Linked DNA regions of Coturnix japonica. The protein of the gene in region 3 interacts with the protein of the main gene of each other region in a biochemical or structural test. Links are inferred from orthologs where the notes say so. Each region holds a gene or a part of one and is shown on either strand. Other genes may lie near its edges.

Region 1 (4,986 bases), on a different chromosome or scaffold from region 3:
AGAGTTAAAGCTTGTACCAGAGGTGTAAGAGGCAAACACCACTTGTCTGTGTTTGGTGCAAGTCAACAGTTTAATAAAAGTTACATTAATTCTTAATAGTAAATGAGATGCTATCAGGAAGGGATCTTCTTGTTCTTTAGTTTGTCCTCCAGGTTTGCAAAGTACTTCATTTTGGCAAGAAGCTTCTTAGCTTCCTGAAGGTCATCTACAAAGAAATTAAAACAAAGAGGATTATTTAAGAGGAGGGCACAACTGTCATTTTCAAGGTGAATCTGAAGGTTTCCTTGCCAGCAGCTATTTAATAAAACAATTACCTCTTTCAAAAGCTGCAGTCACCTCTTTGGTCAGTTCTTCTTGTCTGTCTGTAAAACAAATTATCTTATTCAGCTTTTGCTTCATATTTGTATCTAATACAGCCGTGCTCAGTCTGTGGTGTGGTCTTTTGGAAGATAAGAGCTCCTTGTGTTAGCACTGCCAGCCTTTTTCCTTATCCTTCCAGCAGTGTTTCTTTATTGACACAGCTCTACAGCCAGCAGTACCTATATATATACACACACACACACACACACACCAGTGGCTGCTCACTTCCCAGCAGCTCAACTTGCTTTGATCTCCAGCACTGCACCCAGGGTTCTTCCTCAATATAAACCCCACACGTTTCAGTAGACAATACAGGGATGTAAAATTCACTCGGTACAAAACCCGCAGACCGAGGCCCACCTTTAATTAACGTTTCTATCTCCCCGAGGATCTCGTCGTTCTGAGGCTCTGCTAATTTCTCATTGATTTCCATGATTTCCATGAGAAACTCCTTATCCTCATCGCAGTCCGTCTCCTGCGCCGGCTCCACACCGCGCAGCTCCAGCTGGAGGAAAACAAAACAGCTATTTGGAAACGTGAATATGGGCTCTCTGAGTGTGAGCACTGAGCGGCTGCGGGGCCCTAAGATGGGTGTGTGGATCTGCCCATCCCAGCACTCACCAGGTAGAGGCCGCGGCTCAGGGGGTGCAGCAATGTCTGGTAGGCCTTGTTGATGAGGGAAGAGTGCTGCTCCGAGTAGTGCTGCTCCTTCTGCCAAAGAGTAATGAGTCAATAAGCAGCGCACAGAGCGGTGACCCTGCACACACCCATGGTCAGGGGACGGGGCTGTGAGCGCTGATGGAGCTGTGGGTGTCCCTGAGCACTGCAGGCAGTGGGAGCAGATGCCCTCGGGGGTCCCGTACGACTCCCCGGAGCTCAGCGGTCCCGGAGCTCGGAGCCGACACAGCGCGTCTCCCATAGGGCAGCGGTCGGTCACTCGCGGTCGGTCACTCACCGCCGGGCTCTGTCCGAAGCGGTCTGGGTGCAGCGCTCGCTGGAGGCTCCGGAACCGCCGCTGCAGCCGCTGCGTGTCGATGCGGAAGGAGCGATCACTGCGGGCGACACGAGGCGGCGTGAGCAGCTCGGCCCGCTCCGCTCGAGTCCGCCCCGCCGGCACTCACCACTCCATCAGGCGGAACAGGTCGGGACGAGGCTCCGGCGGCTGCAGGGCCCGGCAGCGGGGACAGAAGTGCGGGACCGCATCGAGGCCGGACAGCGCGACGCCGCAGCTCCAGCACCGCGGGGACGGGACGGAGCCGGGTCCGACGCACCGCGGCCGCGGGGCCAACTCGGACACACGCAGCGCCCGCCGCGCCCGGCCCAGCTGCACCCGCAGCGCCGCCTGCATCGCCCGCACTACGGCTCCTCCCGGCACCGCGCCGCCATTGGCCGCTGTATGAGCGCGGCGCCTGCGCTGTGCGGTGCGACGGGCGGGGCGAGCTGTGAGCGTGGAGCCGGAGCGGAGTCAGTGCGGGCGGTGGGTGCTCCCGCCATGTCCAGAGAGACAAGGAGCGATGTGCAGCACTCACAGGGCACGCAGCCATCGCAGGGCGGAACCAGCTCCTCCTCCAGCGCCTCGCAGGGCGCCAGCCAGTCCTCGTCCAGCTCCGGCACGCTCAGCTCTCTGGACACGGTGCCCACGCAGGAGCTGCCCTCCATCCCCGAGGACCCGGAACCCGACGAGCTCGTTCCCCAGCCCTGGGGTCGGCTCTTCGCGCTCGGAAAAGGTTTCAGCAATTGGGGTACGTCACCGCCGGCCCCGCCGCCTGTCCGTGCGCCTCCTGGCTGTGTCGGGCCGGGGATGCACCGTGCCGTTCTATTCTGTTGCCGTTCCATTCCGTGCCGTTCCATTCTGTCCCATCCATTCTGTGCCGTCCATCTGGCCGTTCCATTCTTTGTGCCGTTCCATTCTGTGCCGTTTCCATTCTGTGCGTTCATTCGCGGGATCATTCTGTGCCGTTCCATTCTGTGCCGTTCCATTCTGTGCCGTTCCATTCTGTGCCGTTCTATTCCGTGCCGTTCTATTCCGTGCCGTTCTATTCCTTGCTGTTCCATTCGTGCCCATTCCATTCCTGGTCCCATTCCATTCTGTGCCATTCCATTCTGTCCCGTTCCATTCTGTGCCGTTCCGTTCCGTGCCGTCCCGCTGAGCTCCCGGCTGTTTCTGCTCGGAGTCCGTGTCTTCTCCACTGCCTGTCTGTGTCTGTCCGCCCCGTAGCTTGGTTTGGTTCGGTTTGTTTCTGCATTGTGTGAATATATCGCTGAAGGTGAATGGGAAATGACGCTGTTATTCAATGGAATTGCTGATGTATGTAGTGAAATTACAGGGTCATGGAATGGCTGAGGTTGGAGGGGAGCTCAGGGATCCCCCACCCCTGCCATGTGCTGCTGCACCCAGCTCGGGCTGCCCACCTTCCTCAATGACGTATTGGTAGCATATGGCGTTTCATTGGAATCAGGAGAAGTAAATGCTGATGTCTTTGTTATCATGCTTTACTATAATGTAAGGCATCGTTCTGCAGGGCAGTAGTTAATAACTGCCTCAATGCTGTGTTCTCTCTCCCATGCTCTGCAGACTGTGTCAATGACGAGTACTGGTTCGGAAGAGACAAAAGCTGTGATTACAGTTTTTCTAAGCTCGGATTATCTGAAACTGGGTTTTACCAGAACTACAGCAAGAAGCACTTCCGAATATTCAGGGTAGGTGCTAAAAAGGTTATTTCTTTTTCTGTGTATGGCCATAATTGAGAATGGTGAACCTTTGCTGGGATCTTATTGAACACAAGGTTTGCCATGTCCAGCCCGACTTCTTTAACCAGGCGCTGAGTGATGTTCCCTCTCCATGTTTATGAAGTACTCCATTGAGCCAACACTGCTGTCGTCCTTTTCTTCGCCATTGCTCTCTTTCTGATTTCTTTTTCTTCCCTGTTAGGAAACAGGACCAAAAAACTCCCACGTTGCCTACATTGAAGACCACAGCGCAAATGGAACGTTCATTAACAGAGAGCTCATTGGGAAGGGGAAGAGGCTGCCGCTGACTCATAACTCGGAAATCGCACTATGTATTCAGACTAACAAGGGTAAAATACACCGCGATGCATGTGGGCTCTTTGGGTGTCAACCAGGAGGTTCTGTGTGCTGTGATCTGGATCTTGTTTGGTGAATACCATGTGGCTGCAGTAATAAGAACAGCCCTAAGTTTATCGCTGTGTTTGGCGCAGACCCAAGGTCTCACTTCTCAGTAATGAGATTTCCTGCCTAAAGCATCATTGCAGCATCAGCTGATGGGGTTTTGGTTTCTTCTTCTTGCTTTCCTATTTCCGTGCTGTTTCCAGCAGGCAGCATTTGCTCAGTTGTGTTGTTGACTGTTAACAGCTTGGGAAGTGTTATATAACCATTTTGAAGTAACAGGACGATGCTCTCCACCCATCTCCCAGTGTTTGTCTTTTCTGACCTCACGGTGGATGACCAGCTGGTGTTTCCTAGAGAGCTCCGAGAGAAGTACATCATGTCCAAGACGTTGGGAAGGTAAGAATCCTTCTATCAGAAGCAGCACCTTTCATTTTGTTACTGCTTTCGGTACCTTGTGCTACCTGAGCACACTGTGCTGGGCTTTAATGAAGATGAAACACAAATGAGACGTGGTCTCATTATCTATTACTTGGAATATCCAGAATCATAGGAGGGTTATCAGAGATACTTCAAAGCAATTGGTGGTGATTTCTGAATTAATTGCTCAAGATTTGAAACTATCTTACGACTATGTTTCTATTTACTTTACATGCAAGAATGTTTAAGTACGTTTGTAATTGGTTGAAATTGGGGTCTGACACCATTTGGTGCTTAAATACTATTGAATATTGTCTGAGATAGTTTTGTCCATCTGTTATATTGAGAGAGCTGGAAAGCTGCAGCCTCTGATTGCACGTAGTCTTAATGAGGTGAGAGCCTCCTGTTCACGTCAGCACGCTTCTTAGGCCGAGTTGGGAAGGTATCTGTAAGCATTAACACAGCTGTGCTTTCATGCTAGCGGTGCCTGTGGAGAAGTCAAACTGGCATTTGAGAAGAGCACTTGTAATAAAGTTGCAGTAAAGATCATCAACAAGCGGAAGTTTATGGCCAGTGGTGTTAGAGAGGCAGTAAGTACCTTTGCTTCTGTCTTTTGACCATCTTGCAGCTGTTCTCAGATACGGGCAGCCTTTATCTCTTACTCTCCAGTCCTCTCCGATTAAAGGGGGTTTTCTGACTTAAAGTTTTCTGTGTGTGATTTCTCAATGGCATTTGATATTACAGAGTGTATATAACTGTGTAGCAAATGCTTGCTTTTATTCTTTGACCAAACTCTGTTAGGACTGATGCCTTATATACAAATAAGGGGGAGTGTGGAAATCTCATGGGGTGTCATCTCCTAAAAAACATCAGAAAGTTACATTACAGGGTGGTCTGACCAGAGGCCTATAAGCTCAGCTAATTGTGTTGTATGTTCATCATAAGACTTGGTATGGTACAAAGCCTGCTGGGGAGGGCTTTCCATGTGCCTGCTTTCATAGCTGCTGGAGAAAGAGGAGCCATGGCTGGAACCTAACAGATATTCAAACAACTTCTGATCGATCAGTGCCATTTTAT
Region 2 (4,770 bases), on a different chromosome or scaffold from region 3:
AGCCATGGGAAGCTTTGAGAGCAACGTCTCAAAAGGAAAAGGAGAAAAATCACAAAACAGAGACCGGACAACAATGAAAACCAAAAGTCCAAAGCACTTTGAGCAAGTCTTTATTATTCTACTCGGCCAACTAGAAAGAAGATAGACAAATCCCCCAACCCCTGTCAGAACATTGGGGCGTGATGAAACGCGGCTCCAAATGAACACGTGCCTTGAAAAAGGTAAAAAATACTTGAGTGATTTGTGCCCTGCAGCCAAACTGGAATGACCCTGAGAAAAGTCTGTGCAGACAAGTCAGTGGAGATCGATGTGCAGCTCCTGGCTTCTGTGTTAATCCCCTTTGTGTTATTGCTTGCAAATGGAGTTTGGTTTTGTTGTTTTATTTCAAAAACAAAGTGTTCATCTGGACTACAAATCCACCATGAGTCGCTACAACGTGGCTTTTTATTACAAATACCAGAATCGCCTCGAAAATAGAAATGTGTAAAACAATCAGCCGTCTGTACAGTGCATTTACAGTACATGGTCCAGAGGAACACGCGGATCCAAGACCCGCTTTAGCCCTTGGCCACACAGCATTGGCAGTACGATACAACCCGAATGCCACAGGGTGAAACTACCATTAACTACTCGTTAAAAAAAACACCAATCGAGAGACCTCGGTTACAATGGAGTTTATCACACAACTGGGATACGTACAATAGCTGTACAAGAAACAGCAGCTTCTAACTAGAAACAGTCATCATGTTGTAACTCTCGGACGGGCTGGACCGGCCAGTTCTCCACTTCTTACAGCTGTTCCTGCTCTCCAGGGGTTTACTCGCCTTGGCCCCGGGCTGTGGATTCTCATAGAGGACGCAGATGGAGCCGTCCTCTCCTATCCGATACGACACCTCGAAAGGGTCGACCCAAAGAGTCAATTCGTTGGGCAAGAGCTGGAACAGTCTCTCGTGGCTCAGTCCGATGGTCGCCGCCGCTTTGCCGATCAGCGGGTCCATCTGGTGGTTGATCCTAATGCACCGATACCCGGAGCCTTTGGTGGGCGCCGTGGGGAACCAGTGGTGCCTGTAGTGTTCTACGGGAGGGAACAAAGAGCGGCGTTAGTGTCAGCGTTACAGCCCGTCCGTGCGCCGCGGGCTCGGGCCGGGCCGTGTCCCCCCGCTCACCGCGCAGCGCCTCCTGCAGGCGCTCCCTGAAGCACCGCAGCTGCTCGTCACCGATCCCGCCGGCGGCCCGCAGGAGCCGGGTGACGAACGCCGCGGCCGTCGAGATCTCGGTTCTCATGGCCGCTCGGCTGCCGCTCGTCGCCGTTCCGGCCCGGCCCGCCGCTACCGCACCGCACCGCTCCGCCCGGGACAACGCTCCGGCCAATGGCGGCGTCGCGCAGCGACACGTCACAATGACGCGTCCCGCCCCGCGCCCCCCTGCGACGGCAGAACAGGATCCCCATTGGTCGAGATGGGCGAGGGGCGGGGCTTACGGGACACCGCGAGCGGCCATTGGGCGGCGCAGGAGACGGGCCGTGTTTGTTTTGCTGCTGAGCGGCGCGGTGACACGGAGTAACGGGACGGGGTGTGTAACCATGGTGACAGCTTGGGGCCTTGAGCGGCCGCCCGACTGCTGCTGCTATTGGGAACCGGAATCACACCAACACTATCCAGGCTCCGAGCTGTCCCCGTCAGGGCTGTGCGTCCATGTTAGTGCGGCGTTACGGGAGCTCACAGCTGGGGAACGTCACGGAGCAGCGGCAACAAGTGACGTAGTATTTCCGTATATCGAGTATTGCCGCACGGCATGGCGCGGTGTGACGTCACTACGTCAGCGTGGCGTCACTACGTCGGTGTGACGTCACTCATCCCACCGCCCTGCCCATCCAATCAGCGAGCTGCTCACAGCGCGTCACGCGGCGACCAATGGCGGCGGCGCTTGACCCTCGGGGGCCGCCTTAGGTGCGGTCTGCCATTGGCCGGGCAGGAGGAGCTCTCGCCGCTGATTGGCCACGGTTCGTCGCGCGGGTTCCCGTCCGTCGCGCGGCGTAGCGGTGCTGCCGCCATGTCGTTGCAGCTGCCGTTCGTTCCGCGGAAGCGCAGCGGTACCGACATGTGCGGGCCGGGCCGGGCGGCGGGACCCGCTGCGGACAGTGCGCTGCGGAACGGGATCCCGCCCAGCAAACGGCACAAGGGGCCGCCGGGGAGCGGGGCGGAGGAAGATCCTTTCGGGGACAACGACGACTTCACGGCGGACGATCTGGAGGAGATCGACACCATCGCTTCCCAGGCGCTGTGTGAGCCGCTGTGTCCGGGTGTCACCGCGCCGGGCCCGGCCCCGCACAGCGCTCAGCTCACAGCGCCCTTCCAGCTGCAGGTGCTGCGGGCACAGCACGACGATACACGGAGGAAGGTCAGAGCACATGGGAATATAAGGGGGGATCGGCCGCGGTGCTGGGCCGGGAGGGTCGGGATCCGCGCTGGGAAAGGCTCTGAGTGGGAACGGCACAATGAGTTTGCGGGGTGTGGTGCCACCATTGCCCAGCAGCGGGTGCTCATCTGTCGGCTTTCATCTGTCCTGTCAAACCCGGAGCAGCGCTGTGTCCTTCATGGTTTGAAAGAAGAGCATTTAAGGGGATGGGGTCACTGAGCCTTGTGGAAAGGCACCGCTTAGACCACACCATCATCACCTTAAAGGCCCTTTAAGGCCTTTACTTTAAGGCCCTCCAACCTTCTGCAGTGTGCAGGGACATCACAGCTCTATCGGTGCTCACAGCCCGCTGGGTGTCTGCAGGGATGAGGCACCACCACCTCTCTGGGTAACCTGTGCCAGTGCCTAACCACCATCACTGCAATAACTTTATGTCCATTCTAAATCCCCCCTCCTGTAGCTGGAAACCATCTCCCTCAAAAAAGGGATGGAAGCAGTGCAGAAAAGCCCACCGTCAGACACCAAAACACTGTAATTCTATTAGAGAATGTCACGGAGCCTGATTTAATAAGGAAAAGAAATAGAAGCCAGACTGTGGGATATCTAAACTGAGCTGTAGCAACACACTCCATCTTTGACCACATAGAGAGCAATACAGATACTAAATGCTGAATGTGCTGCTTAATGGAATTCATCTCTTTGCAGCTGAAAGAAATGCAGGATGAAATTCTTACTAAAAATGGAGAAATCAAAGTTCTGCGTGACTGGATGCAGCAGATGGAGCGTGAGATGGAGGAGCAGAAGAGGTCGTACGTGCTGTTGGAACAGCAGCAATCTCAGGCCCTTGGTGAAAAAGAAAGAGAGTTCTCCAAAAAGGTTTGTAGCTCAGTCAGTCACCTCAACACAACACACAGAAAGAAGCCTGCAACCTTGAGATCTTACAGACATTTGCTTTGCAGTTGGATTAACACTTGCCTATTCTGTAACAGTAAAACCATCTCCTTAATTCTTCCAGTTACTGTCACTGCAGTCAGAGTTGCAGTTCAAAGATGCAGAAATGAATGAATTAAGAACGCGACTTCAGAACTGTGAAAGAAATAAGCACGTCACTCAGACGGTTGTGCCACAAAGGTGTGTATGGGGGTTTGGGGAAATAACCTGTGTTTCTTTTTGTTCACACTTGAATTAGGACAGATGTTTCCTGTCTCTGTGTGACTCTTAGGTCCATTTCCTTGAGAAAATACAACCAAAACCATTCTTTTGACCTAAACAGATGCTGGGACAGAAATGCAGGGGATGTAGAGTGAAGTACCTCTTTAACATCAGTACCAAGAAAGCTATTAAATAGATCTGTAATAAAATAGAAATAGATCTTTAATAAAATGCTCCCAAAACAGACATTGGTTCATTGGAGCTGGAGGGGAATTTGTTGGTATCTTGTTGTTTTCGTTTATTTTTTGTAGCCCTAAAAAGAACGTTGCAATCCAGATGAAATCAGAAGGGTGTCCTCCGCAGCCTGGAAAAAGGTCTTTTCCTACAAAAGAGTCTTTCAATGCTGAAACTGCTGCCAGACCCTCTTCTTCTTCTTCAGGAAACTGGTTTGCACAGACAGTTTCCAGCAAGGAAGGTAAACATGAACACAACTTGCAGTATTTTTAGCTGCTTGTGAACATTCTGCCTTAGATTCAGGTTTTGGCCCAGTGTGACCCAGCAGTTCCAGTAAGGTCAGGGCAGGAACAAGGGTGGTTCTTTCGGTATGACATTGCTTACATTCCATACAGCTCCACCTCAGGTTTGCAGGAGGATGGCTTTGCAGTGAGCTGAATGCCAGGGGAGCAGGGTGGAGGTGTCTGCTGGCTTTGGTGAGAAACTTTCATTTATATGAGCTGCAGGATCCGAACTGTTCTCTGTGTTTCTCACTCAAGAAGGAACAGGAAATAATTTGCTTATTTCTTGAATAGGTCTACCAGTCAGCTAATGCGTTTTTTATACTCCTGAGGTTTGGGTTTTGATAACCGTTCTCTGTTTTTGGTATTTTATTTTAAATGGTGCATGTTCAGCCATGTTAAACGAGCAGCTGCAGGGCTTCACTCGTTTCCTCCTTTCTGCGTTGAACGGTAAATCTCATACAACTGTACCTTCAAATTCATTGAGTAAAGCCTGGGAAACATATGTATGCATTTACTGTAATACGAAATAAAAACTGCTTTTTATAGCAGCCAATTACTGTGTTGAGACAGTACATTGCCAGTAGGAAAGAATGGGAGAAATTGGGAGGAGGTGTCCCTGCCTGTAGCAGAGGGTTGGAACTAGATGATCTTAAAGGTCTTCCAACCCAAACCAATGGAACAT
Region 3 (4,201 bases):
TTTGCTTGCTTTTTAAGGGCATCAAAAGGAGATTTGATACCATTTGCCCTCCTGCACTTGTTGCATTGTTTGTTGTCCAAGTCAGCCTCTGTGGCTGGAGCAGCATACACAGAAATTCGGTCCCTGGCAGCAGCTAAGTCCATAAAACTACAAGCTTTTTTCAGTCAGTACAAGAAACCTATCTGTCAGGTAAAAATAAGAGTTGGTGACTTATAAAGACGTTGATTCAAGTTTTTGTTCTGTGTTTTGAAAATGTTACTGAAGATAAATATTACTTTATTTTACAAGATGAAATCTCTTAGGGTAGGAAAGAGATTATTTAAAGTTTAAAAAAAAACAACACTTTATGGAAAAAGTGGAAAGTATTTGATCTTGTCATTAGTCTTCTCCCTTCTCAGCACTGATTTTCACTTCTATTCCCTAGGTGCCTTAATGCTGACATAGAGGACCTGTATATGTTCTTGCATTATATGGTACCATTGTCATTGGAGGCTAGAATGTAAACTAGGAATTTAAGTCAAACTTTATTACAGGCATAATCATGCCACGGTTAGCATTTCCTAAAGGCAGAAATTCTGCTTAAAGTACAAAGTATTAAAGATAGAACAAGAGGAATCTATTTTAGGTGTGTGCAACATCTGAGGTCGTGATTGCAAAATGAAATGCCATCATTAATCCAGTTCTATTATGAAATAATTATCTTAGATCTATGTGCAATACAAGAGAAACAAAAACAGATGCATAGAAAAAATGAAAGTCTTAGGGAGTGAAAAAAAGGGGAATAATATTTATTATCTATTTCTTCATGCCTAGTTTCTAGTGGAATCCTTGCACTCCAGCCAGATGGCAGTATTAAGTGCTCCATGCCAGGGTAATGAGCTGCACAAACAAGAAGCTGCTCACCAAAGGGAAATGGCTCTGGACATGTTGTCTGAGATTGCTAATGTATTTGACTTTCCAGATCTAAATCGCTTTTTGTCAGTAAGTTGGTTAGTCCCTTTTACTTTTTTTTTTTTTGGGGGGGTGGGGGAGGAGGGTGAGGGAGGGGCATTGTATGCTTGTGGATTTCTTTTTAGTCTGTATTCCTTTTTTTTTTACTACAGATCTGATGATTTTTTTCTAGTTGCTGTTTGTTATTTTTAGAATGATTCTGGATTGCTGGAAGAGCTCAAGTACAGAGGAACTGTTTTATTAAAGAGATACAGTGGTGGCTCAGCTAATTCAAATATGATGTTTAATGAACTGTCTGTAGTCCAGAATACCAATTGAGTATACCTACACTAATGATTTAAGGCGTGATTTGTGTAGTGCCTGTTTTCCTGTTTTAAATGGAGAAATAATTGTTTTGTGGATAAATAATCTTGATCTGAATAAATAACTGCTTTGTATTTCTCTTCTACCAGCAAACAAAATACAAATCTACGAAGCATGTAAGATTCAGATAAGCATCTCACTTCTTATTGGGATCTTTTAGTACTGGTTAAATGAAGCAGTTCTGTTTAAAAAATAAAAAATCAAAAATCAACTTTTTTTTTTTTTTTAATGAAATGCTTCTATCTCAAGTTCTTTTTTTTATAACTATGGCTATACACAGGAATGTAGATATATGTTGACCAGGACCTGGATTTGGTGTTTTTGGAGGGTGATTTGGTCTGTATGTGTTTTATGTGTGGGTTATATTGATTTGGTATGATTTAATTCTGGTTTTTAGTTTGCTGTCTGTTTTTTTTTTTTTTAAATTATTTTTATTTTATTAAGTGTTGTTCTTAATTTATCAGCGGACCCTGCAAGTTTTGCTGCCTGACCTTGCAGCCAAGGCCAGTCCTGCTGCCTCCATCCTTATTCGAACCATAGCAAAACAGCTGAATGTAAACCGAAGAGAGATTTTAATCAACAACTTCAAATACATCTTCTCTCATTTGGTCTGTTCCTGTTCTAAGGATGAGCTTGAGCGGGCACTTCATTACCTCAAGGTAAATTAATATTTGCTTGGTTACAAATGCAGGTGGAGAGCAATGATGAATGAATAGTGAACTTTCTTCTTTCTGTTTTATTTAAATAAAAGTATTGCAAAGCAGAGCTGGGGAAATAGATCAAGTTCTTTTGTTATTATTTGTTGTCAGTTCTGTTGGCTCTGAGTATTTTGTGAGATATTTTGTGAACTTGAAAACTCTTGGATTATGTGATGTTGACCTGACTGGGAGCTTTCTCTTTATTCCTGTGGTAAATCAATCTGAGTCCATTGTTCCTTGTCTCTGTGTGCTAATTTCACTGTGGTGAAAGTAAGACTTGTTTTTGTCGATAATAGAATGAGACTGAGATTGAACTGGGCAGCTTGTTGAGACAAGACTACCAGGGACTGCATAATGAATTATTGCTACGTATAGGAGAGCACTATCAGCAAGTATTCAATGGTTTGTCTATATTGGCTTCATTTGCATCTCACGATGATCCCTATCAGGGACCAAGGGAAATAACATCCTCTGAGCAAATGGTAAGTCCATCAAAATATTCATTTGTTTTTATTTACTATAAATATTTTTAATCTTGAGTCTGGGAGACAACTTGAGTTTTCTAAGCATCACGTATAAATCCTATTTGAGACAGAAGTGAAGAGGAAATTCTGTCATTGCATATTGAGTGTTCCTCTGATACAGAGATACAGAGATGCACAACAAGAATGCATTGAACACAGATAAAAAAATAAACCAACAAAAAACCCCACAGCATAGCAGGGATGTCTTTCACGAACACTGCTACTTTTTAATGAACAGTGTATGTGCTTGGGAATCTTTCCATTTGTCAGCATTACCATTTCATACTTGCTATTTCCTTACTTAAACTTAGCAATTTATCTGTGTGTTAACAGTAATTTTACTTGTTTTTACTTTTTCACGTTTTTTCCCCCTCTCTACAGGCTGATTATCTGCAACCTAAATTGCTTGGTATCTTGGCCTTTTTTAACATGCAGTTATTGAGTTCCAGTGTTGGCATTGAGGATAAAAAAATGGTACGTAAAAAGAATATCAACATTAAAACAAAGAAGTAAAACTACTTTGGTACTCCAGGTTTGCTTTTGTGTTTAGGTAGTTGTCAAGGAAGGCTCAAAAAATAATGAGGTTTACACATGAGTCTTTTAATAGCGATGATCTCACTGTGGGCTGGACTTCTGTGTAAGCTCAGAAGTATGCTTTTCTTTTCCTCTTTATTGGTCAGCTAATGTACATAATTGAGTCATGGTAATTATAGAGGAGGAATTCAAGTGTTTTACACATGCAAAACAAACATGAAAGAAACACAGTGGAGGGTGGAGGCATATGGGAGGAAGCTGAAGTCAAGGATTTGAGGACCTTGAAGTTCAAACCTGAAATTACTGGTAAAAGAAGATAGAGTGATGCAAATCCAAGGGAAATTGGGCTTGACTCATTTTGCTTCTCGTAGAACAGCTCCTTTGAGCTTAAACTCTGCTTCTAATTGTAGGGGAGACCCTTTTTAGCTACCACACAGAGGCAGTGTAGGTAATTTATGTAGGCAGTTATGCAGTCCTGGAACACATAACCTTGATACTGATAGACTTGCTGTATTTCCTCGGTTGGTGTGCCCTTTCTAGCTTTTTGCTTCTGAGGTATTCTTATTAAACTACTGTCATTATTGACCATTTGTCTTGATGCTTTCCAAATTTCTTACATTATGCATCATTTCTTATCTTGTACCTGCTATTATTTTTTCTTGTTTGGTTTGTTTTATTTCTCCATGAGTGTACAAGAATCATATCTCCAAAGACCTTTTCTCAAGCTCTGGTTTCTTCCTCTGATAACTGATGTGTCATGCTGGACATTCTGCTGCCTTTGTTAGGCACAGTGTGTCTGTGACTGAAGAATCTCCTACTTTTTTTCTGTCTTGCATCGTACTATTTCTCTTAGATCTCTCATCAGTCTTGGTGACAACTGACATGTAAACTACTCCATGAAGCTTGCTATCACTTCTGCTATAAGTTTTATGTCAATTATCTTTGTTTTTAAATGTGAATTTGTTTTCTCTATATTTTCTAAATGTCTACTTTACAGCTTCTCAAACTTTAGATGTGTAGTCAATCATCAGATAACAGATTTCTTTAACTGTAAACTCCACTGGTGTCTACAGTTCTTCCCTCATCAATCTGTCAACTGTCTAAACAGTTAATTGTTCATTGTAGCCCTGT
Region 4 (3,173 bases), on a different chromosome or scaffold from region 3:
GCAGTCTGCAGCTTGCTACTTCTGTTTGCTTTCGTTTGTTGCACTTTCTGAACCTTAGAAGAATCACAATGTGGTGCAAAATAGCACTGTGCACATTCAAACCAGCAGCTTTAACACTTGGAATGAGAGTGAAGGGGATGCTCCACCTTCTCCTGGATGCACTGATCGAGTGTGTTGGGTGGATGAATGTATGAATAATGACACGTCTGCATCTCAATGGGGCTGCAGCGTTTTTGTGGAACATCAGCAAAGATTTTAACACATTTTTACAAGAACAAACTTTCCAGTATTCAGCTCATCTGATTCTTTTCTATTGTTTTGACAAATTGTCTGCAATAAATGATGATTATGTTTAGTGCTCATATGGTAATTAGAAGTAGCTTATGTTGTAAATGTGACATGCCCTTCTAATGGCTATAAAAGATGCTCAAAACATGCATCCACTCCTCTGTAGATCATTGTTTAAGTGGGTCAGTCAAGATATGAAGGATACACACAGCCTCAATGGATAAGCAGAGAAATTGAACGACTGATAAGACAACTAACAGGGAATTAGTTAGCTCTGTTTGGCTGCAGGCTCGCTACAATTCTGCCTTATTTTGTTTAGATCTCTAACAAGTTTTTTCCACCTTGAACTGTACTTTCAAAAGCTTTAAGCTGTGATGTTGGCATGTAAAATTTGGGGGTAATTTCAGGTCTGCGTGCATGAATGAGTTGGTTCCTATATTTTGTGAACGCTAGCAAAAGATAAGCTGTTGTGAAGGGTCATAGCACTACCAGAAGCTTGAGTGTGTGCAGCTGGTATCTGTTCTTTGTCCTCCTTGCAGAACGAGCAGGCGTTTGAAGAAGTCTTTCAAAATGCAAATTTCAACACGTATGAGTTCAAGATCAGAGTAAAACTGGAGACGTACAATGTAAGTATCCTCTGCAGCGCTGCCATAAGAGATGGCTTCCTCCTCTCGTCTTTGTGGGGTGAAGTTTCAAGTGACTTACAGCAACCACTGTCAATCCTGGGCACCAGAGGAGGATCCTCTGCCTTTAAAGCCATTTCCTCTCTGGTTCCTCCAGCATGGCTGGTTCCAAATGAAAGGCAGTGTAGCTGCTCTGGGAGTTGTCTGCTCTCCCAGCTAATCCTGGTACCACGAACAGTGAGTTACCAGGGCAGAGAGGTTAGAACCAAATGCCTCGGGCACTGAGTATTCTTTCTGCATGCTATTTTTTTTTCTTTCCTTTCACAGGATGAATCTCGTATTAAGGCAACAGCACTGGACGTCAAACCTGTAAACTACAGAGAATACAGCAAGAGGTTGATTGCGAGCATCAGGAGAAATGCTCAGCTAGGATGAGAAGGCTCATGCTGCTTGATCAAAGCTACAGACTTCCAGGAAAAACTCAGAGGATGTTACATTGACTTTTTCCCTGCTCTACATATGACAATTTGGCATTAGTTACACCGTGCACTGTAGCCCAGTGTAGTGGGATGAGTGATTTAATGCATTTCTCTGAAGACGTGCCCCTGCTAGCTTAAGAGTGTACCCAATGGCCATGATGCTGTAGGCTCTTGTGGTCTATTAAACTGTGACAGCACTATAGAGGATCCTCTAGACAGATTGTCAGTATCTTTAGACAAAGCATTCAGAAAATCTGAAGTAACTTTGCTTTCTTGCTATACATAAACCTGAATTACATAACCATTGTGTCGTCTTTGCGAGAAAATAGTGACAACCTTGGCACTTGGACTTGTTCTGCAGAGGATGGGAGGGAGAGTGTCGTGCAGCCTTCAGATCTGGACGAAGGAGAGCAGGTCTATTAGCACGAGTTAGTTATTTTCTGTAGAATTCAAAGGCTTTTTCTTTCCACAGGTGCCATGCAGTTAATGCTTGGAATGGCAATATGGTAGAATTATTAATCAAAGACATATCTTTTATATCTGAAGAATATCCTTCCTTCAGGGTTTAATAGACTGAGTCAGATGGGTCTGATATTAATCAAAATTGTCTCTTCTGAGGAAGGCAGATAAGCATTGACTCTCCATCCCCCAGGGAAATCTAGGCAACTACAAAGCATTGCTTTAGTTTTCACTTCAATTAATACTATAGGTTTTTGACTGATTTCAGCACGCGTTTCCTTCCTGTATGTGTTCTGTATGTATGTTCAGTTTGTTAGGTTTTATTTGTTAATCAGAACCAGGTCTTTCAATGGGGGGGGGAGCTTTGTTTGAATAAACACTGTGTAATTCCTGTGTAGTGAATTTTGCTTTCTTTGAACACCAAAGACTTCTCATTACTGGAAAGCAATTAATTAGCTTTCATAATAAGCATTCACTTGGGGGAGATGTTACCTTATTACTAACTCTAAGGTTAGACTGAAGAAAAGAGACTTCTTTGCCTGATGTTAACGGCATGGAAATGCAGTGATATTTTCACCATTTCTGTGCCTGAGAATGCTGATGAGCTGGCACTTCTGGGATTTTTATTGACGTTTACACAGCAGTCTAAAACTAACCAGGCTTTGAGATTTGTTCAGACATAGAGCTAGTACAGAAAACAGTAATTATGCTACTGGGCTTTTCAGTCAGCAGAGCATGCTAGCTCTGTGTGCTCCTAATCACATTAATTATGTGTTCCCTGGCTGCAGCTCACAGCTTGGCATTTGCTGCACAGCTCTGAGCATCCAGGCAGTGCTGCAGTGGGTCTCTGGTAGCAAAACTGGCATGTATTTATTTTGCACTGTTTCCTTGTGTGTTCATGCGGTGCCCTGATTTCCTATTTATCTTCTCAAGTCTTGATGCTTAGGAGCTGTAAATGCCACATCTACTGGTGGACACGGAGGTTGTTATCCTGGGCCCATTAATTGCACAAACAACCCCTTCTCTTTCAGAATCTGAGGATCGTGGCTGGGTCCTTCTGCTGATGCCTTGAATTTTTTATCCAAGTATCTGTTCCCTCTGACCTTGCTTATGAAGCGTTGACGAGGAAATCACCGTCTTCAGCACAGCCCCGGATTGACAAATGGTGGGTTGGCCGCGATCATCTATCTTTCCACTCTACTAACCAGTCTTTTACTTCTGCTCCTCCTTTCCACTTTGAGGGGACTGAGAGCTGTTTGTGGTAATGCACAAACATTCCCTGAGGCTGTTTCCGAGTCTCAGGCCCGTAGACACTAGGAAGGTT
Region 5 (4,201 bases), on a different chromosome or scaffold from region 3:
TGTGTGTGTTTTCCCCTTTCTTTATCGAGATGTACATTTGCTACTGAAAGATGTACCACTAGGTGAGTCTGGCGTCATCCAGAAAAGGTCACTCACAGGAATGGTCAGACAGGGCGTGTTTATCACACACTGCATTTTGTTTTTATCTTGCTGTTTTTCAAGCAAACTGGATACGAATCTACTGTATACATTCAGTGCCTCAGCACTGCGTTCATTACCTCAGAATGGAAGAGAAATGCTTGGAGAAACAGACTGAATAGAGTTTAATTTCATGGAAGATTCTGTAAATACCTCTTTGTCCCTTGCTGCAATTATATTTGGTACCTGCCAAGAGTAATACTCTTCAGTGCTCCAAGCACAAAACTGGTGTGATGGAACAGTGAAGAAACCTCCCTTATGGGGCTTGCTAAACCTGAGCAATCGTGCTGCTCTAAATTATGCAGTGTGGTAGTAAAGAGGCTTGAACACCGCAGATTACCCAGTGCTCAGATGTAGTGGGAGATCCCTCTGATAGCTCCTACCAGGGAATGGGAAGAGAATGTGACCAGAGAGCTGTGCTCAGGCTCTTGTCTATAGGGAGCTGTAGGCAATTGCCATTAAGTTAAAAGAACTCCAAGGAATTCTCTAAGCAACGGCAGGTATAGCGCCAACTGCTCAGCCAGCTATGGATTCACACTCCCAGATGCTCTATGTTTGTATCTGGTCCCAAGATTAACAGCCTGCCTTTCTGTAATAAATGATGAAAGGAGTTCTGAAAGCAGGAAGGCAAACTTAGCAGCCTGTCACCCAGAAATACAATGCTGATACATAAAGATGGCACCTGTTTTCAGACATGGCTTTTCCTAAGCAAAGACCTGAGCATGCCTTTTGTTTTTCCTATTATTTCCTGAAGGAATAATGACTTTAATTAAAACCTACCACATTCCCCTTGGCCTCGAGCGTGTGCAGTCTCCAAGCTCTCATTCGCATCTTTGCTTTCAGCAGCTCTCCTCGATGTTCGTGTCTTGGTTGGTAACTCTGGGGCCTGAAGGAAATTGCTCACTACACTCCTCATGCCCTTCTTTCCCAATTCCTTCTCCACCTCTGCAATGCACACAAGAAAAAAAGATTACTGTAATACATAGAATATAAAAAAACCAGAGCACTGCTCCGAGTTAATTGCACAAAACAAATGAAACAGCACAAAGAGGGAGATCCTTAGGGCTGGTCAGCCATTTGGCTATTTATAGTTAGACACGTGCCCTTGTTGAGCTACGTGCAGAGTTCAGGACACAGGCATCCCTTGTCCCTGGAACTGCCAGCCCCAAAGGGACCCAGACTTACCATCTGATATGCTGGACTCCTGAAACATCGTCTCAAACGCCTGATGGATCTCAGCGAAGGAAGGCCTGTCAGAGGGGCTCCACTGCCAGCCTGCAAAAACACCGGCACTGAGAACTTCCTACCAGCATTACACACCCATCACAGTACACGAGGAGGTGCCAACTATCACAGAACCCTTTTTATTAAATGGCCAAAAGAAAACACCAGCATGGAAACTTGGTGTGAATGGTGCTGGGCATCTGTAACCACCACTGAGCCAAAGTAAGGGCAGGCATGGAACATCTCGGGAAGGAAAAATACCACATAACAAGTCACGTACCAAGAGGCCACAGAGGAAAAGCAACACCTACTCCCTTAAGAAGCCTACCAGACTCCTGCCTCACCCCTGCAGCACAAGTTTATCTGTAAGCAGTCAGGGAAAAGGAGAAAAAAAACAGCAAATCTCTCCCCAAGGCCTACGAGCTCCCAGCAGGGAAGAATGGCTGGTTTCATAGTGCTTCCATCCTCTGGGGAAAGCAGCTCTAACCAAGCATCTCCACACAGCACTGCGTCTTCACTAGAACCAACAGAGAGTTTCTTGTATCTGGCTGGATGTGACCAGATCTGGCCACGTTCATTGCATTGCTGAAGAGCTACAAAGCAGTAATGGCATTTGCAAGGCTGAAGAACACTTACATGCTCTCATGAGCTCATACACTTTCTCAGGACAGCCTTCAGGGCGCTCCATCCTGTAGTCCTTCTCCAGCAGCTCATAGACTTGAGACAGGTCAATCCCAGGGTAAGGGGACATGCCATAGGTTGCAATTTCCCATAGCAGAACACCAAAGGCTGCAGTGGGTAGAAAAATAAAACAAACAAACTAAAATCAACAAACTTTATTTTCATCTTAAATTTGAGGAGACATTTAGTGGGAGTAGTCGCTAAACAGTGCTGCACACTTAAACCAGCTCTGAGTGGCTCAGACTCCATGCTCAGTGTTAGCTTCAATGTTAAAGCAGTGGAACAAGCCCCTTCGTCAGCACAGACAAGTCTCCTGCGATATGACAGAATAGAATTAGACTAATTTTGAATGTATCAGTTGTCTCAAACCTGAACGCCTTGAGATCCTTCAAGTCCTATTAAAGGCACAATTAAGAGACTTCACAGTGGATTAGCTGAAACTGTTTCACTGCAGCACTGCAGTCTCTCTCCCAGTTTGACAGCTCCTCTCATCTGCAGTCTCTCCCTAGAGGACTCGCGTGTTTTAATAGCTCAGTGTTTTTTGGGGTGCCCTTGTTTAGCTGCAGACTGGAAGGGAAGAGGGGGTCCCGCTGGTGAGAGATATTCAGTAGTTGCTACCAATGAGACCAAGTCTGCATGAGACATTTTGGTCATGGGGAAAGCTGAGCAGAAAAGGGGAGAGCACAAAGAGGTTCTTTAAACAGGAGAGGCATTCAAGTCCCCAGACTCAGCGGGGATGCAGGTCAGCACCGGGGTCGGGCAGCTAACCCAGGAGTCAGCCATGCAGAATAGACTCAACACCAGTTCAACAACCTGCATGTAATTGGTTCAGTCACCCTATTCTGGTCTTAAACTGAAGAGAAAGCGATTACAATTCTGCATAAGTAAGGAAATCACATCACATTACATGGTAACACCACCAAGGGCAATTTACATTAGACATTTCTGTGCACAATTTTCTTTGATTTCTGTCTGGAGGCAGCGAGGTGAAAAGCATCTAAACCCTGGCATGGCCAGCAGCAGCCGTGACCTCTGGGGACAGCCAGCTTGCTCTGATCAGATCCCAAAGTCCACCGCTCTGACTGTCACTCTGCAAGGTCACACCAACCCTAATTAAAGATACCCAATATCCCTTTCAGATCTTTCTTCCCAGAGCACTCCACTACTGAAGTACAAGGGCTCCCCGCAGCCACCCGGCGCGGCCAGCAGTGTCACACAGCAGCTCGGAGCAGAAGAAAAGCTTAGCTCAGCTCCCTCATCGCTAAAACGTTTTGGATCAGCCGTGCTCTAAGAGTTCCTTCAAAATAAAGCCTCTCTCTGCACCGTCTCCTCAAAACTCCAGAGAACTTCACTGCTGCTCCACCACCGTCTGATCTTTTAAACACATAGGAGATGCTCAGGGTAATGTTTTCAATGTACCCCTGGGATGAAGTCCTGCAAACTTCTATCGTGTATCACCGGGCACTTTTGAGGATCTGACCAATAGCTATGGAAGAGATATAAAACCCAAAGAAAGGCCGATAAAAAAAGAAGTAGAATGAGATTTTTCTGCAGTCAGATTTCATAGAATTTAGCTCCATTTAGCTAAGCCCAGTCTTATCACCAGCACCTCAGGGCTCTTCAATAACCATTTGTCATCAAATTTTCTCTCTGTTTCTGCTCATCTCATTCCAAAGATTATTCTTTTAAAATGCAGAAAGACGAGCTCGGAGCTATCACCAGACAGACAGATACACACATAATTTTTTAACATAAAATGAACCAGATCCTCACTTTTCTCCTTAAAGTAGTTTGAAAGTTCCTGGCGATAAAGCAATATATTGCTTCACAGTTCTGTGCCAGAGCTCCATCAAGTCAGCAGCACGGCTGCCCTCCAGCCCCATTTCATACAACTCTATAAACACCACAGTGTCCTTTGTTTTCATACTTGTCAATGACTCAAACACGTAAAGCCAGGTCTGCAGCCTCACTTCTCCACTCCAAGACCGACTTGGCAGAGATTAATTCCTGCACTCTGATACAACACAGCTCAGAGCAGGGAGCATTGCTCTCTCCTGAAACATTTCACAGCATCCTCATTTCACAGCCCTGGAAACGAAGGTTGTAAAAGACCATAATCTGAATTAATTTGTTCATGCAAATTCTTACCCCAGACATC

The links.
Region 1: of the proteins of ATR (region 3) and CHEK2, one has a biochemical effect on the other in vitro, tested with the Homo sapiens proteins (2 studies listed by BioGRID). The link is inferred for Coturnix japonica from reciprocal best matches to the Homo sapiens genes ATR and CHEK2.
Region 2: the proteins of ATR (region 3) and ATRIP form a complex in vitro, tested with the Homo sapiens proteins (4 studies listed by BioGRID and IntAct, with this or other methods). The link is inferred for Coturnix japonica from reciprocal best matches to the Homo sapiens genes ATR and ATRIP.
Region 4: the proteins of ATR (region 3) and RPA1 form a complex in vitro, tested with the Homo sapiens proteins (2 studies listed by BioGRID, with this or other methods). The link is inferred for Coturnix japonica from reciprocal best matches to the Homo sapiens genes ATR and RPA1.
Region 5: of the proteins of ATR (region 3) and ABL1, one has a biochemical effect on the other in vitro, tested with the Homo sapiens proteins (2 studies listed by BioGRID, with this or other methods). The link is inferred for Coturnix japonica from reciprocal best matches to the Homo sapiens genes ATR and ABL1.

The regions. Positions count from the first base shown.
Region 1 is NC_029530.1:6,772,097-6,777,082, reverse strand, and holds the start of CHEK2 (serine/threonine-protein kinase Chk2), read left to right. Parts: upstream 1-1,746; 5' UTR 1,747-1,756; coding exon 1,757-2,102; intron 2,103-2,935; coding exon 2,936-3,060; intron 3,061-3,292; coding exon 3,293-3,440; intron 3,441-3,797; coding exon 3,798-3,888; intron 3,889-4,390; coding exon 4,391-4,499; intron 4,500-4,986. Other genes in the region: iron-sulfur cluster co-chaperone protein HscB, read right to left, coding at 114-205, 315-362, 721-865, 982-1,071, 1,316-1,412, 1,482-1,708. UniProt on the Homo sapiens protein: Serine/threonine-protein kinase which is required for checkpoint-mediated cell cycle arrest, activation of DNA repair and apoptosis in response to the presence of DNA double-strand breaks.
Region 2 is NC_029527.1:2,067,739-2,072,508, reverse strand, and holds the start of ATRIP (ATR-interacting protein), read left to right. Parts: upstream 1-1,391; 5' UTR 1,392-1,794; coding exon 1,795-2,400; intron 2,401-3,123; coding exon 3,124-3,294; intron 3,295-3,433; coding exon 3,434-3,549; intron 3,550-3,881; coding exon 3,882-4,045; intron 4,046-4,770. Other genes in the region: protein BTG1-like, read right to left, coding at 726-1,075, 1,167-1,284. UniProt on the Homo sapiens protein: Required for checkpoint signaling after DNA damage. Required for ATR expression, possibly by stabilizing the protein.
Region 3 is NC_029524.1:8,872,389-8,876,589, reverse strand, and holds part of ATR (serine/threonine-protein kinase ATR), read left to right. Parts: intron 1-17; coding exon 18-189; intron 190-813; coding exon 814-981; intron 982-1,778; coding exon 1,779-1,973; intron 1,974-2,308; coding exon 2,309-2,494; intron 2,495-2,917; coding exon 2,918-3,010; intron 3,011-4,201. UniProt on the Homo sapiens protein: Serine/threonine protein kinase which activates checkpoint signaling upon genotoxic stresses such as ionizing radiation (IR), ultraviolet light (UV), or DNA replication stalling, thereby acting as a DNA damage sensor.
Region 4 is NC_029534.1:4,234,388-4,237,560, forward strand, and holds the end of RPA1 (replication protein A 70 kDa DNA-binding subunit), read left to right. Parts: intron 1-827; coding exon 828-914; intron 915-1,238; coding exon 1,239-1,346; 3' UTR 1,347-2,246; downstream 2,247-3,173. UniProt on the Homo sapiens protein: As part of the heterotrimeric replication protein A complex (RPA/RP-A), binds and stabilizes single-stranded DNA intermediates that form during DNA replication or upon DNA stress.
Region 5 is NC_029532.1:4,616,529-4,620,729, reverse strand, and holds part of ABL1 (tyrosine-protein kinase ABL1), read right to left. Parts: coding exon 4,192-4,201; intron 2,152-4,191; coding exon 1,999-2,151; intron 1,414-1,998; coding exon 1,324-1,413; intron 1,084-1,323; coding exon 919-1,083; intron 1-918. UniProt on the Homo sapiens protein: Non-receptor tyrosine-protein kinase that plays a role in many key processes linked to cell growth and survival such as cytoskeleton remodeling in response to extracellular stimuli, cell motility and adhesion, receptor endocytosis, autophagy, DNA damage response and apoptosis.